Linked DNA regions of Caenorhabditis elegans. The protein of the gene in region 1 purifies or fractionates together with the protein of each later gene. This does not show direct contact. Each region holds a gene or a part of one and is shown in the gene's direction. Other genes may lie near its edges.

The links.
Region 2: the proteins of ttr-42 (region 1) and glb-6 fractionate together in Caenorhabditis elegans (co-fractionation; one large-scale study listed by BioGRID). This does not show direct contact.

What each region holds. Positions count from the first base shown.
Region 1 is NC_003284.9:2,574,225-2,581,837, forward strand, and holds ttr-42 (Transthyretin-like family protein), read left to right. Parts: upstream 1-3,517; 5' UTR 3,518-3,526; coding exon 3,527-3,680; intron 3,681-3,722; coding exon 3,723-3,988; 3' UTR 3,989-4,038; downstream 4,039-7,613. Other genes in the region: F52H2.1 (JmjC domain-containing protein), read left to right, coding at 173-283, 334-572, 625-997, 1,575-2,378; H01M10.1 (SET domain-containing protein), read right to left, coding at 4,254-4,309, 4,364-4,566, 5,074-5,213, 5,874-6,043, 6,091-6,192, 6,236-6,344.
Region 2 is NC_003283.11:5,566,794-5,575,146, reverse strand, and holds glb-6 (Globin-like protein 6), read left to right. Parts: upstream 1-4,613; 5' UTR 4,614-4,633; coding exon 4,634-4,763; intron 4,764-4,808; coding exon 4,809-4,892; intron 4,893-4,936; coding exon 4,937-5,038; intron 5,039-5,314; coding exon 5,315-5,408; intron 5,409-5,456; coding exon 5,457-5,599; intron 5,600-5,651; coding exon 5,652-5,978; intron 5,979-6,444; coding exon 6,445-6,539; intron 6,540-6,585; coding exon 6,586-6,690; intron 6,691-6,750; coding exon 6,751-6,840; 3' UTR 6,841-6,962; downstream 6,963-8,353. Other genes in the region: C18C4.7 (Golgin-84), read left to right, coding at 7,935-7,982, 8,025-8,133, 8,184-8,353. UniProt on the Caenorhabditis elegans protein: May play a role as physiological sensor for oxygen via redox signaling and/or electron transport.

The sequences.
Region 1 (7,613 bases):
TTGAACATCTAAAATTTTTTGGAATGTTTTATTATAACACTCGATCATTTTTGATCATTATAAGTATATTAGGACAAAATCCCCACTGGCGCTACTCCACCTTCAAATAACTTTAACAGGGGCTATATTTACAGTTATAAAATGTTCCTTTTTTGATGATTTACGTTTTCAGAAGTTCATAAAACACCGCTTCGCCGATTTTCGTTTGGAAGAAGAAAACGCAGAACACAAACTCTACATCTGCCCACATGGACAACATGAGCAATGTGTCGGGTATGCAAAGGTATACGACATCACAACGAAAGACGATTGTTTTTAATCAAACATCTTCAGCTATTCCTCAATCTTGGTGTTAACATCGTTCGTGTTTGTTTTGGGCACTACGGGCATGAGTCAACGATAGGGCAGTACCGGTTCACTGGAATTCAATTCGCCACTATTCGATTATTCAGCGACTTTTACTGGAAAAAAGTGATTGGACCTGAATGGAATGTGCACAACATTGTGTACTGTTTCAAGCATTGGTATGATGATTCACATGCTCTTCACTATTTAAGTATATATGACCTGAGGTATAATCTCCGAATAACCAGATAAGATGTTTTAATGAAAACTTTATTTCAGAGCAATCGCTCTAGAATTAGGCAAACCTGATGCAGTTCGTGTTCAACTTCCGAATGGAGTATACCATGCCGTTCGCATGACAACTGTGGAAGACTTGAACCAATTCACGCATAGGACACCATCGAATCAATTTCAACCGTGCCATGCAGATGTTAACGAGCTTTCACTTGGTGCTTCAAGTCAGAAAGAGGAAGGCACCTCGGGGCCACCCCAAGTCCTAGATGAGGATGGGGAGCCATTCACCCCGACCCCGGAAAATGTGCGGCACGAAATTTCAGAGAGCCAAGATGCACCGGGAAATGTTACACATGATTGGTTTTCAGAAGGAGCCAATTCTCAGCAGGTCACAACGATGTGGGTTAATATTCACAATGTAAGCTTTTTCACTTTCATATCATAAAATTGAAGGAATTCATGTTACCATCTATGATTTTTCATTTCACTCTAATTTCAAAAACTTTTGACCATCTCAAATATTTTCCGCAGGGCCAGTTTTTCAGGTTTCTGCCCGATTTCTTGGTTTTGGAAGGAGGTTATGTGCGGACTTTGCTTTGGGTTTTGCTATAGAATACATTATCAAAATACAAAAAAAATTGGAAAAAGAATATTCAAATAATTCTCAATAAAATGCTTGTCAAAAATTATTCATTTTTATTGTATTTTTACAATTTATAATAACTGAGCAAAATCCATAACTAATTTTCGTATGAAAGCTAAAAGAACTGAGCTCGAACAGTAGCCTGAAAATAATGGCTCCGAGTAGGGAACCTTGGGATGGTCAAAATGTTTTTCAAAATTACCGTGAAGCAAAAATCATAGATGATAACATAATCCTCAAAGTTTGAGAAAAATCGATAAGCATCGAAATAAATTATGAATTTTGACCACTTTATTGCTAATTTTTTTGTTGTTTCAAAACAATCATATTACACTAAATAGACAATTTTCAGCATGCAACTGAGCTGAAAAACATTGCTTTCCTGAAGATGTTAACTCCGAACTGCACAGAAGAAGTGTTCAATGATGCTCAGCAAATATTTGAAATGCTCAATCAAGCAGCCGAGATTGCACATAAAATGAATGAGAAAATAAGAGAAGCAAACGGCGACATGTCTAGAATGCCGGTCTTAGAACCGCCGCCAACGTTTTCAATATGTCTAGATGATCCAGTGTTCCGGGAACTTTATCCACTTCATCTTCAAAATTATGTGTACCCAGTGCAACAGTTGGTCAACGAAGAGGATGATTGTGCTCCAAATCCACTTGTAGCTCCCAATGGAAGTACTGTTCGACCAGTTGGAGATTTATTTTCACAACCTCCGGTGCCGAGTTTCTTGCAGCAGCTCTGGTTGAATGCTAATCCTGAATCAGGACCGACGGCTGCTGAAATTGCGGAGCAAGATTTTGAGAATTATGAAAAGGCTAGAAAAAGTGGTGGCAACATTTGGGCAATGCCACTTCCAAGACGAACATTCATTCCCTCAAGGCTTCGTTATGCAACTGGAATTGATTTGAACCGGAAACTTCAAGAAATGCGAGAACGAGAACACCAGGCAATCGCTGAAGAAATTCGAAAGTTAACGCTATCCGAGTTTCGATTGAATAATGTGGAAGTGCCTCAAGAAGAAGAGGAACCTCCCGCGGATCCGAAAACAGAATCCAAAAATAAGAAAAAGAAAAATGCTAAAAGGAATAAGAAAAATAAAGCTAAAGAACTACAAAAAGAGCAACCCCTCCGACACCGTGATCCATAAATGTTTATTATTGTTTTTTTTTGTTTGAAATCTTGCCATTTTGCCCATTGTTGCTCTTTCTCTCTCTCTCTCTCTCTCTCTCTCTCTCTCTCTCTCTCTCTCTCTCTCTCTCTTTCTCTCTCTGTCAAAATAATTCCAGAATTTAAATTTTAGAATTCCGTCCAACCAAATCAAAGTTCAATGATTACCTTTCATCACTGCACATCCTTTTTACATATTATTGTCATGTTTTCCCAGTTTTCAGTTTCCAACTTCCAATCAAATTTCCCCGTCCTTAAGAATTCTATGTCATTGAAATATTTCAGTTTTCTGTTATACCAAACTATAAAAAAAACATTTCTCTATTTTTTAAATGATTCCTGACGTCAACAATGGTAGCATGATGATACTTTCATTCAAAAAAACAGCAAAAAAAGTAGGAGAAATGAATATATCATCACTGAGAATTGATGATTGTAAAACCGTCGCAAAAGTAAAAATTTGCTAAAATTCGTAAATTGTTTTCGGAATTTTTTTGAAAAGTATAAATAGGCTCAAAAATTTTTGTAATAAAAAATCTCAATAATTTTGAAAATACCTAGTTTGGTTTAAAATGTTTGGCAAATTTTTTCTTGCTGCGATTTCCTTGCTGCGATACGAAAAAGTTGAAAAAAGATTCAAGATTTCAGCTAAAATAAGCTCTTTTTTCGAAACTTTGAACCGCGCTAAAAAAAAATAAAAAAATAGGACATATTTTTGAGCAGTTTCATAACGAAGTTTGTTCATTTGAACAAATTCAGGCCCTGTATGTTTAAAACAGTCAGAACCGTTACTCCTCCTTTGATAGGAGAGTGAAAACACAAGTGCCTGAAAGTTCTGAACATTTGGGTAGAAAACTACTAGAAACCAAGTAGCCAGACCTAATTTAAGTTTTGAATAATCACAGTAAAATTAGTTTTCAAAAAGACGAAACTTTTAGAAAATCAAAGATCAAAATTGCATTATTGAATTTTGTTTGTATATTCGTAAATCCATGGTTATTCCTTTTTGATATATTGCTCATATCAAATATATGTTTGCTAAATAAAATAGAAGGCGGGCCGGGCCAAAAACAAAATATTCAAATGCATATAAAACACCACGTTTGAGTTTTTTCTCACAAAGTTACCATGAAAACTTTGTTATTGCTATTTCTTTTCACAGCCTCTGTGGCAGCAATTCCTTTCAGATCAACAACTGTTGTTGCGAGGGTGATACTTCGTTGTAAGCATCCAAAAGATCCATCTGCAAAAGTGTTCCTGATGGAAAAGGATTTTGGAGATCGTTAGTAAATTGATCAATACACATGTATTAAAATAGTTTCAGATGAGATTGATGAAGACGACACAATGGATTTTGCAGAATTTAAATTTGGGCAAATCCCAGAAAAACCACTTCAACTCAAAGGTGAAGAATTCGAATTTTCCGGTCTTGAGCCATACATTTATATTAGTCATGCATGCACCGAAAATCGCGTGGAAGCGTGGGATTCGTTCAACGTAACTCTGGAGACATCCATGTACTTGTCGGCTACGTTCGATGTAATCATTGATTTAGACACGAAAAAGTCTACTGTCATTAAGAATATTTGATGTTAATTAATTTTCATTTGGAATAAAACTAACAGTTAACGGATTATGACAAACGATGGTATGAATTAAAACAATGAGATGTTCAACATTTTCATGAGGATGAATTGAAGGTAGTTCAAAGTCAATTAAACAATAAAATGAGAAGAAGAAAACAGGAGTTCAGATGAAAAAGAGTAAATCAAAAATGATTGGTTTTGAAAATCTAAAAAAAATAAAGAAGGAGTAACGGTCTCTTTCTTTTCCTTCAAGGTATTCATAACGTTCGTCAATTTCTCTTTACTTTTGATGGATTGCGACGAGTTTTTCTTTTTTTCGGTCCATCTAAAAAATGGCATTTAAAATAATTAACAGTCTTGAAAAAAGAAATGCACAAACCTTCTTCTTCATCGTCGATAAATGGAATTTTGAGCATACTGATCGGCGGATTGGGTAGACCATTTTGGAAAGGCGAATCTCTTGGCAACCCGACACATTGAATTGTCTCGGCGAACGCTTCAATGTTGATGACAGAGAAACCTGCGTGCATCATGCTGTCCTCGACGAGGACTACGTTTGTGTACGCGTTGGCACCTTCCATCCTGAAAATAAACATAAGTTTCTGCTGGTATACGTCATTTGAAATTTGAAAAACCTTATGTTCAGGTGGCCCTGTACAATATTTCTTAAGAGGTTTTATATAGTTTTTAAACAAAAAAATGTCCGTCAAGAATTATATACAGTTCAAACTGCTCATATGCAGCTAAATATTTTCAGGATATACTATGGTCTTCTTTCAAATGTTATATTATATATTTATTTTTTGAATTCCAAAAATAAATTTAGATTGGGACAGTAAGTAAAGTGCTTGAAAGCTTGACATAATTAAAAATTTTACAAGCTTGAGTTTTTTAAAAATTTAATTATTATAAGTTGTGTTTTGTTTCAATTCACGATGTGAGTAGAACCTTGATTTATTAAAATCAATCTTCCTGGTCTTGAAATCATGTGAAAAATTTTTACACCCCTAATTCAGAATATTCCTTGTTAAAATGGCTTTGATATTAAGTGCTTAACGTTTTTTTTGCGATATTTGGTAATTAGTTTACCTATTTAGATGGCTTGCCCACCAAACGTTGTTAATACAAATTCCCCAACTCTTGCAGAGCGACTCATCTTTGCAGTCGATTCCGGCCGCGTAAAACACCTTCAGCACATCTTTTGCTTTAATGACGCGACAATTTCTTCTCTGAAAAGTTGCAAAAATATAGAATTTTAATTTCCACCAGATGTAGATTAAAAGTGGACTGCGGTCAGTGGGGTGCTAAAATCACTAAATATCATCATAAAAAGTTTAGAAGATTTTTAAACTTGAGTCAAACACTTTTTGGAAGTATGGGATCCAAAAAAATCAGTTTTTTAGATTTCTTGATAAGTGGCAAAAACTTAAAAATTGTCATTTTTCGACTTTCAATTAAAAACATTTCAAATAGTTTTGAAAAGTTTTACTATGATTGGGGGAAATTTTCATTACATACATTTATAATAATCTAAAACTACCGACTTTCTTAATAGGACACTACAAATAATTTAATTTTTTGAAATTTTCCAGTCAAAGTTGGCAGATTGCATAATTTGAAAAAAATGCTTTCAAAAATAAAAAAAATGCTTTTTAGAAATCCAGAGTAATGCCGCATGTGACACAAATATTTAGAACAAAGTTAAAGTATAAAAATTGTAGAAAAATCTTATTTTTTTGGTTGGTTTCCAAAATGGCAAAAACCGAACCACTTTTTGACAGGAAATCAAAAAAAAAATCACAATTTTTTTTGAAAAGTTTTGCTATGATATTTAATCACTTTGGCACTGGCGATACTCCACCAATAACGAATTTTGAAAATAGACTCACAACATGTCCATGTCGAATATCATCTAGATGAAATTCGGCTCGGCTATTGAAATTGTAATAATGCTTAATGTGAATAGTGCCATCGGCGGCCACTGCAACAAATGGATCTTCATACACTGACGGTGCTCGAGGTTGAGAGCACGATGCGGAGGTAGATGGAACATCACTGCCTGTAAATGAACTGTTAAAAATATTTTTAACTCATTTTGATGATTACTTGGCAATGAATTGATTCGTGATTTATTGTTGTTGTTCGGAGATGTCGATGTGATTGGTTGCATTTCCATGGATGTTCGAGAACTGTCTTCGGTGTCTTGTTCTGTAAAACCATCGGCAATTTAAAAACTTCGACTGTTACTCACTTGCTGTTGACCGTTTATTCCGGAAGCTGAGCGCTCGGCGTAGAACATTCATGGCTGATTTGCGATAAATTTGGAGCTTTGAATTGGAGCCAGCTGTTTCTTGGCTCATTGCATTCTGAAAATTCAAGAAAAAATCAACTGTGCGGCAAGTGTGCAACATGAAAATGGAATAAAAAACGTTTGATAACTGGTCTTGAAACATTTGTTGGTTTGATTGTAATACAACAATTTTTCTTATCAGTCATTACTACGATAAGGAAGGCGGCAAAGAGCACGGTGGCAAACGAGCATGTAAAAGATCGATGATTCTATTTTGTTTGTGAAGCAGAAATTCCACACGTGATACATTTTTGACACACAAATGTAATTAGCTCCGTTTTAGCGAGAATTTTATGTTTTCAATAACACTTTTTTACTACTCAAATTGGTTCAAATTGTGTGCTGTTGCGAACATCAAAAAATAAAAAGAGCAATGAAAGCTAGTCGGTGAAAAAGTGTGTGAAAAGTGCAGAGCCGTCGATTGAACTGTCAGTAAAAGTAAACAAAGTTGAATTCCGTAAAATTTCAAACAAATCGACTGGGGACAGGTTGAACGAGCAGAGGTGAATGGCATTGTGCTAGTCTCGGGGTGAATTTGAAATTGCTCATAGTGAAAATGAGAAGAATAGGAGATGGGTAAGAATGAATTGGTGTGCACTTTTGAACAAGTGCACTGTAATAAATTTGAATGTCTAAAGATATTGGTGCTTGAGGAAGAGGCAATTTTCTTTTTTTAACCTTTTTGGGAGGAAATTTAAAAAAAAGGGTTTGAATAAAAATTAGCGTAAATTCAGGAACGAGAAAAACTGAACATAAAATTGTATATTCTGAACTGAACTTCATCCTTATTTTGTTCTAATAATGTTGTAGCTAACAGAAAAATTCATTATTTTTTAGTTATTTTTGAATGGTAAAAACAAAGTATGGGGGGCTATATTTTTGGAAAACAAACTGCCGTTAAACCGTTAAACGTTAAAAGTTTAATCAACGTTTGAAATTCGCTCAAATGAACAAATAACGTTAATGAAACTTCTCAAAAAAAAACTTGGCAAATCATAGTGTTATATCGTTAGTTAAGGTAATATTAGGCCAATAATTTAATAAAAATTATTTTCTGATCGCTGTGGCACGATAAAATGGCCAAGATTCAACATAAATATTTTTAAGTACTTTTGAGAAATTTCATTAAAAAATTTTTTAGCATAATTATTATTTTTTTTTTTTTTCATAATTATTTTTTTAATATTTTTAGCATATTTTTTAAAGCATATTTTGAGTCTACATATACGTTGAAATTCCAGAAACCGTTTGTCCTCTTTTAAGCCTCCTATTAATAATT
Region 2 (8,353 bases), on another chromosome or scaffold:
TAAATAGAGCGAGGAATGTGTTGTTTTTTGTTCGTAAACCATCCCTCTCGCCAGTCGACACTTTCCATGTACTTTGCTCTTTCACTGTAATAGATCTTTAATCAACATACATTGTACCATTTTGCAAATCCACATTTCGATATTTGTCATCTTTGCTAGATTGTTGCACGAATGAGAAAAGTGTATCTTGTCTTGTCCTTTTTGTGTGTCGGATATGCTTTCAAGTTACACGCCACTTCAACAACAGTTAGACAGGGGAGTAGTCAAGTGACATCAAAACTTATCCAAACAGATTTTGATTTGTGATACCACTTGTATGATTTGGCTCTGATATAAAAATATCATTGAAAAGTCACGGAGAGTACCTTTTTCTCTATTCTGGTTACCATCAGTTGCTCCTAACAACTGGTCATGCTTCATGCAAATTCAAAATGAAAGTCTAATGTAGGCGATATTTTGGCATTTTTTCAAGCATGTAAAATGATAAAATGTAAGGTTTCTCAGTAAAGGCTCTCGCCAAAAAGTAGAAATGTTAAAAACGTACGCAATAATATCGTGGCAGGCACTTTCCATGCCTCCGTGACATCATCATGCCTGCCTACTTACCAGGCGAAGGACGCCACGGTAGGTATTCTTTTTGACAATTTTTTGAAGATGCACATAGTTGAATTAATTTTAAAAAATCTCGGTACTAGTCCTGAATCACCCCGCCACTTTTTTTTTTATTTGTGTATTATTTCCCCTCATTTTAATATTATCCATTTTAATAAAACGTGATGTCCATTTTCCATCTTTAGGCTTAGAAATGGTTATTTCCTAAGCCTAAAAATACAAAAACTCCACACGTTTTTATTTGAAAAAAAAAGAAAAAAAGTGGCGGGGTGATTTAGGACTAGTACCAATATCTCTATCATCTCCAAAGCTAAGCTTGATTCTTCTTTCCAAAAAAGTTTCCAACTAGTTAATTTCAAAAATATTTTAAATAAATATTTTTTAAAAATTAAAGATTGTTCCCCATCTTAGCTGAAACTCACACATTCGTACTAAAACGATTCTAACTTGGCAATTTAAAGCGAGTTTTTACCAAAGATCCAGTAAATAAATATCTCTGGAAAACCCTCACTTTTTTTAATAGAAAATTCCTTTTGTTTTTGTTTACCGTCATGAAAAAAGAAAAATCCAATTGTTCTTCAATTTTTTTCTCATTTTCTGGCCAGTATCCTGTCCATCAAATACGATACATTCACTTTTGTAGCATCAAATGAGTCAAAAAGACACACAAATCTATCAAAGGTGATATACGGAAATTCATTGCGTGCTTCTCGGTCTCCAACACTCTCCTTTTCTCTTTTTTTTTGCTCCAAATTCGTTCATCCTCTCTCCCTCTCATCAAATAACGACTTCCGTGAGAGCTCACATAAGCATAATTCAAGCGACAGGAGCTGGATGAGGAGGAGCACCTTTTCTCGTCTCGAGGCTTTCAATCTCATTTCTTTTTTCATCAACTAGAAGTCTGATTCGGACCCGAAGATTAGTGAAACGGATTAGTTGAGACATATCAGACGGCTGTGTACTCAGGATTTACTATATGAATGGGTCATGTGGTTTTGTAATTTCACACATTTTTTTCAGCAGAACCTTGTTCTTCCAGTTTTCACTAGTATTTTCAGCAAAATGATTGGCTTAACTGTGATGTACACTTTAATTTTTTCAAAATGACCAAAGCTTATAAAAAGACACCTAACAAATTGTAGATTTTTAAATTTCCAGTCAAAGGTTTGGTAAATTGCCAACATTCGAGTTCCATTATTGTTGTGCAATTTTCAAATACAGATTAAACCCAAATAACCAAGAAAGATACCCCGAAACTCGTTGTTTGATAAATTACGCACTATGTACTTGGTTTTATCGTGAGAACGTGCATTAGATAGAGAATAAATTTACATATATTCTCATCAAATATTTTCACTACCAGCATCTTTAATGATCATATCTTCTCAAAATAGCATAGCACCTCTCATGTTGCTCGAAATTTCATGTTTTGAAATTTTTCGTTTGCTCTAACAAGAGTGGTCTTTTTGTGGGGATACTGTGTGAAAATCAGGCCTGTCGTTTTTTTTTTACTTAGACCACAAATAAATGTGAACCTAGAGCTTATTTTAAGGTCAAATACTGAAAAAAAACAGAAATATCTTCCTGGGCATTTTTTTGATTATCGTAGTTGTTGATACTAGGAAAATTAGCGCTTGCGAGAAATTTTGGAAAATTATTAAAAAATACTATTTAAGTTTATGCACTTTCTCGGCACTTCTCCAAGCTGCAAGATAAGCCGAATTTTTCCAAACTCCAATTTTCGATAGAAAACAAAGTTGACATAAATCTCATTCACTCTCAAGGTAGTGTTCAATGCTTATATTGTCCAATGTTGCGAGGTTCCTGATGGGCACACCAAAAATTAACTGTGATTACTTCAAGGTTTTCCAGAGCACACCTTTTTAACTTTTAGCTTACTTTCAAACATGATAAGTTAGATTTATCCACCTCGTAAACTATTTTTTTAATTCAAAATAACTCTGCAACAATTTTGGCCTGGTTTTCTATATTTGAGTTCAACGAGTTAAATTAAATTCGGACTAAAAAAGGCCACCTCAAACATCCAAAGCCAATTGTGACTCATATTTAAATTATTTAGTTTTTATTTGATCTAGAAGATTTCTTTCCCCGCCATCCCTAATATAAAAGAAACCAACCAATCGAGCTCAGATGTATATTGATATCACCCTAGAGAAAACCTTCTCTCACAGAAAAAAGAGGCGAAATTAACTCGTTGGCCTGCACATTTCCCCCACCTAATCTTCTTCTCTCCTTACGCTCACTTTCAAGGCTTGATAATTTCCGAAAAACAGACAGGCTCCTGCTGCTCCTCTTGTCTGCTCAATTACTCGAAAGGGTCCTCTCGTCTTCTCTTTCAAAAAAGTCGTTCTTTTGCCCGCCCTATGTCTTTCAGGATAAATAAAATAGGCCCGTCGGTCTTGTGTGTGTGTGTCGTTGTTTAGTGTGGTGTTACGTCTTCTTTTTCTCCATTCCCTGCTGCATCTCCTTTCATCGCCATCGTTGTGACGACGACGTAGTCTTCGTTGTCTGTTTCTGCTCCGTTTAATTCCAATTTACTAGTAGCTTCACCTCCTTTTCAAACTCTGCAAATGTCTGAAGATTTCGGGTTTTTATCTGCCCTGACTCGTCTTGTCTAGTCTACGGAAAATCGGAAATTCGCTTGCAGTGTCTCGTCGTCTTTATTCGGAAACGACGCTTACAATTGGAAATTTCCGATTTGCGAAGTTCATCATGTGATATTGTTCGGGGTATACTTTTTTGACAAGTGCCATCTTGTGATGCTATTTGTTTTTGACATTTTTTACTATCCGAGCTGAAGTGTTTTTGCACAAGATCCTATTAAGTTTAAGCTCACAAGTCGAGGAAGGTTTTATTATTTTTCTTTTCTTTAACGGTGCATTGACAGCGAAGAAAGTTACCGATTCCTACTTGAAAAGGTTTAGTGTACTGATCAGGTGTCCTAATAATATAAAAAGGATAACAAGTTTTGAGCTATAAAACCCCTTGCCAAAAGACTTACCAACAGGGGTTTAGCGTTTTTCAAACTTCCCAAGCGGTTCTAGAACACAAAATCTATTAGCGAAACCCCATAATATATGCATTTTTCCAAAAATCATATTATTCAGACGTTTAAATATGAGCATTTTCGGTCTCGCCAGGTTTCGCCACGCGGTCAACGACTTACTGTAGATCATGCCGATAAACTTCTTTCAGTAACTCGTTTTCCGCGTGGTGAGACCTTTGCGCGTAAGATATGGCAAAAACTCACATTTTCAAACGTATACGTGATAGCTAAAACGAAGCGTGGAGTTCAATTTATATAGCTACTAGATTATACAATTCGCTGAAGCTCAAACTCCTAAACCTGAAACAGAGAAAAAGTTATAGTACGTTAAGTGCATTTCTACTAAAAAACCAAACTGTAGGAAAATCCAAAAAAAACCACATGTGTACATAAAAAATTTCTCAAAAGTTTTGAGAAAACATTATAATGAGGGGGGTTGAGCTGGTTGAGCTTGCTATGACAAATTTGAAATATCGCTTCGAGACATTGTGACTACCGAAACATTATTTTCTTGAATTCTAGAGTCCTTAGCTATAAAAGTAGTCACTGCTGCTCAATCCATTGTGCAACCCTTCACTTTCCGGTTCTTTCAACTCGGTTACTTCTTCTTTTTTTTCTGTAAATATCTCTACGTCTATCCAATTTTCCATATTTTTACTCGTTCACTCTTCAATTCGGAGACTTTATCTCTTTTTCTCTCTCACTCTTTATTTCTTTCGCTTTATGGTCCTTTTGTAGTCTTCTAACCCTAGTCAAAATACGTCATCAAATGAGCCATTCTCACTCACTCAACCGCGCATTCTATCTCTCTGTTCATTGGCGTATCTCGTCTCTTCAGAATAACATCCTTCAACTTTTTCGCCACCATCATTGTCAATTTGAGATTTAAATATTTTCTATTTTCTTTCAAATTTTCACAAAGTTAACATTCCAGAGACTTTAAAATCACAAAACATGGGTAACCAATCAACTAAATCAACACACGGTACCACACGGGTATCTCATTCAAAGTCAGCTCATCATAATTCAAGTAGGGTCACCAGTGACGTCATTCCAAGATCAGCTTCAGCGATTTCTTCTCATGGTGAGTGTTAGTCTAGAATTATGAAAAATAAACTTCTTTTTTCAGAGAGATTTTTCTCTGATTCCCAATCATCCTCACCTCCGGCAGTCTGCCCAGTATCCGCTCCAGGAAAATATCGAAATTTTCCAGGTAAAACTGCCAATAAAAACTATTGAAATTAAATATATTTTCAGGAAAAGACGTTCCGCCAATTTGTCTAACTGATGAATACAATAATTCAGACGATGAGGTTTTCTGTTCGACACGGACTTCAAAACAATCACCTTTGGCTACAGGTAAGAGTTTTTATACGGAATAATCTGTTTTTCTAATGACCGTTTTCTCACTTTGAAAATATATTTTGGTTGAACTATGTAGTTTTTAAAGCAACTGCTCCAAATATAATAAAGACGATCGAATTTTTATGTGGAAGGCACAAAACAAATAACAAAAACGGTAAATGCACACGGGCGCTGCGCGAGCGCCAGAAGACCCGGGGAAAAATGTCTAGTCCTCAATATGCTCAAAATCCCAAATCTGAAATCCATAGATTCAACAAAAAGTATCTTCAGGCTGTCCACGTCAGAATTTGGGCTCTCCAGGCAATCGGCGATCAGTGGATTCAACAAATTCGGATTTACTTGAAGCAGTCACACCTCGAAGCCAGTGGGTTTTATCACATTTATCCTTTTTATCAAAACATCTCTTTTCCAGTATATCTGTGAAACGTACAGTCAGCAGCGGGACAGAGCATGCTCCAGATCATGCGAATATGCAAAAGAGTAGCTCCTTGAAGTTTACCAGACCAGGTGTTCGGAGTGAGACAAAGGAGACAACTCCATCGACTAGCTCAAATCGTAAGATAAAAATATTTGTCAGTTAGAATGATTCATGAGATACAAATTTTAGCAACAATGTTCCCATGCATTCATCAATTTCTTCACCTTACGCAGCCTCAAATATTGTTTGTGAGGAAAACTTGGAATCATGCAAGAAATCAAGGCGCCCTGGAACCAGCGATCAGTATCTTTCGAAACTCGTTTTTCAAAAATCCCGAAATTCGGCAAATGATAATGTTTGGAACTAAAAATGAAGGACATGAAAGGTTAAAGAAACATGCTCAACTATTTACTGTACTTATGGATGACCTAATTGCAAATCTTGATTCACCGTCAGCTACAGTAGCTGGACTCCGAGAGGCTGGTGAGAAACATGTTTGGCCAACAAGAAATCAATGTGAGTTTTGAAACATTCTGCGCTTTGATCTGATCACATTTGACAGAAATCTATAAATAAATAAATTTAATTGAATGTCTAAAAAATTATACTCCAGATACTCCGGATCCATTTTCCGATAATTCTTGATTTGAACCAGCTCTGATAAATCGATGCTGATCGATGTCCAAGTCAGTTAAAACGACGCAGGTACACCCAGCTTCGACATAATTCGACGTCTATTGGACTGACTTTGACGTCGATCAGAATCGATTTACAAGAGCATCGTGTGCGGCAATTTCCCCGAATTTGCCATTTTTTGAGCTCGGCAAGTTGGACAAATTTGCCCAACTCGGGAAGTTTCAGCTTTATTAGGTCGAGCTTTATTAGTTGTACGGTTAGAAAAAGCATATAAAAATGAATCACTGCATTAAAAAACCCCCAGAAATATTTTCAATCATATTTTACCAATTCCCTCCTGTTTCAGACGGCTGCCCATTCCACGCACATCTTCTTGACCAGTTTGCAACTGCAATGATTGAAAGAACTTTGGAATGGGGAGAAAAGAAAGATCGAACAGAGGTTAACCTAATAGAAACTGCATTCAGACAAATATAATTTGTTCCAGACAACTCAAAGAGGATGGACGAAAATTGTATTATTCGTGACAGAACAACTGAAGGAAGGTTTTCAGGATGAACAGAAGAGGGCAAGACGGATAAAGGCTCAAATTGTACAGTTTTATTGAAATTTTAGTTACAAAAATAAATTTTTAAAATCTTATATTTTTCAGAAAACCAGCGCGGGAAGCAGTTCTTTCGAAATATCAACAAAAACGAAGCAAAGCGACATGAAACGATTCCATACATTGGATAATATGTAAAAAAGCTCAATTTGTGTGATTTCTTTTCAGGGTCATAGGTGATAATTAATAATCCGGTTTCCAATTGTTATGAGCATTTTTTTTGTTATAAAGCAATTTATTGAATAAAATGCCATTTATTTTTTCATAACCATCTAGTAGTGCCTCCACATGAATGTGTCGTTGCAGGTGAACAAAGAGCATTGTAGAACCACCAAATGTATGCATACACAATGCAATCTCTTTCTCTTCCACTCTTTGGCACTTTCTTTTCCAACTCTTTATCAAGTTTTTGGTTCGAATCAATATGCTATACGGTCCCACGCGTCATGACTTTCTTGTCTTTCGGCTGACTATTTTGTGTATCGATTTATGTTGTTTTGTTTTCTCAAGCTTTTGTAACGGGGCTTCTGGATAAATTTAGTTCTTTAAAAAACATAAGCCGATAGAAAAATGCTTTAAGAAAATTTTCATATCATTTTTTAACTGACAGTCTGCTGGTAGTTTGCTAAATGAAGACCTGTTTGTCAAATTCGAACATTAAAAAAAATAATTTAGAAATACACATTTGACCAACTTCTCTAAATTTTCCATTTCTCAAAGTTAGAATTTTCTATGTTTAAAAAAGTAGATGGTGTGTGTTCTTGACTAAAATATATTGAAACTGGACGAAATTTCTCAAAAATGTTTCTGAAAAACTTTTCGGATATTCAAAATTTTGAAAAGAAAACCGATTTTTCTAAAATCTGAAATTTCACCAACTTATTTTTGTTGAAGCTGATGGAAATTAACATTTAATTTTTAGCAGATTATGCCTATTCGAATTGTTTTCCCGGGTTTTTTCCATTGATGTAGGCGCTTTTTTTTAATATGGAAAACGTTCCGTTTTTATCTAAAGAAAACTTTTTAAAAATTAAAATTTCAAATTTCCATAAAAAAATTTTCTAAAACTTCAGAGAAATTTCATCAAAATTGGGCAATTTGATAACAGCTTCACTCTTTCGAGCCCGTTTTCAATTCAATTTTCTGACTAGTGGTGTTTCTTTTTTTTTTAATATTTTTCTGTACTGTCTTCTGTACATTAACAGATTCTCCCAACTACTTTCAGGCTTTCAATGGATTATTTGAAACCTGTATTGGGCACAGCCAATTTTTATCCGATTGTAAGTTCAAAAATAACTTCTGATACTAACTTTGATATTCAGAATGTCAACTCAATCATCCCAGATGGAATTGTACGTGAGAGACGTCAGTTTTTCGTTTCAAATGATATGAACATGACGAACGTTAATGGTGATAGTCAGAAATTCGAAGGTATAATAGAAAATTTGACTCCATTAAAAAAACACATTTTAAAACTTCAGGTTACACTCATAAAAGTGGTCTGGATTTTTACTCGCCAGGAAATAATAGAAACAAAATATATCCAACGGTCAACGCCAGAACACCAATGAGACCGGCAATTGTCTACGTTGGAACTGTCAGTTCTTATGAAAACTACAAAAGTCCAATATCTGACTATCAAAACGAGAAA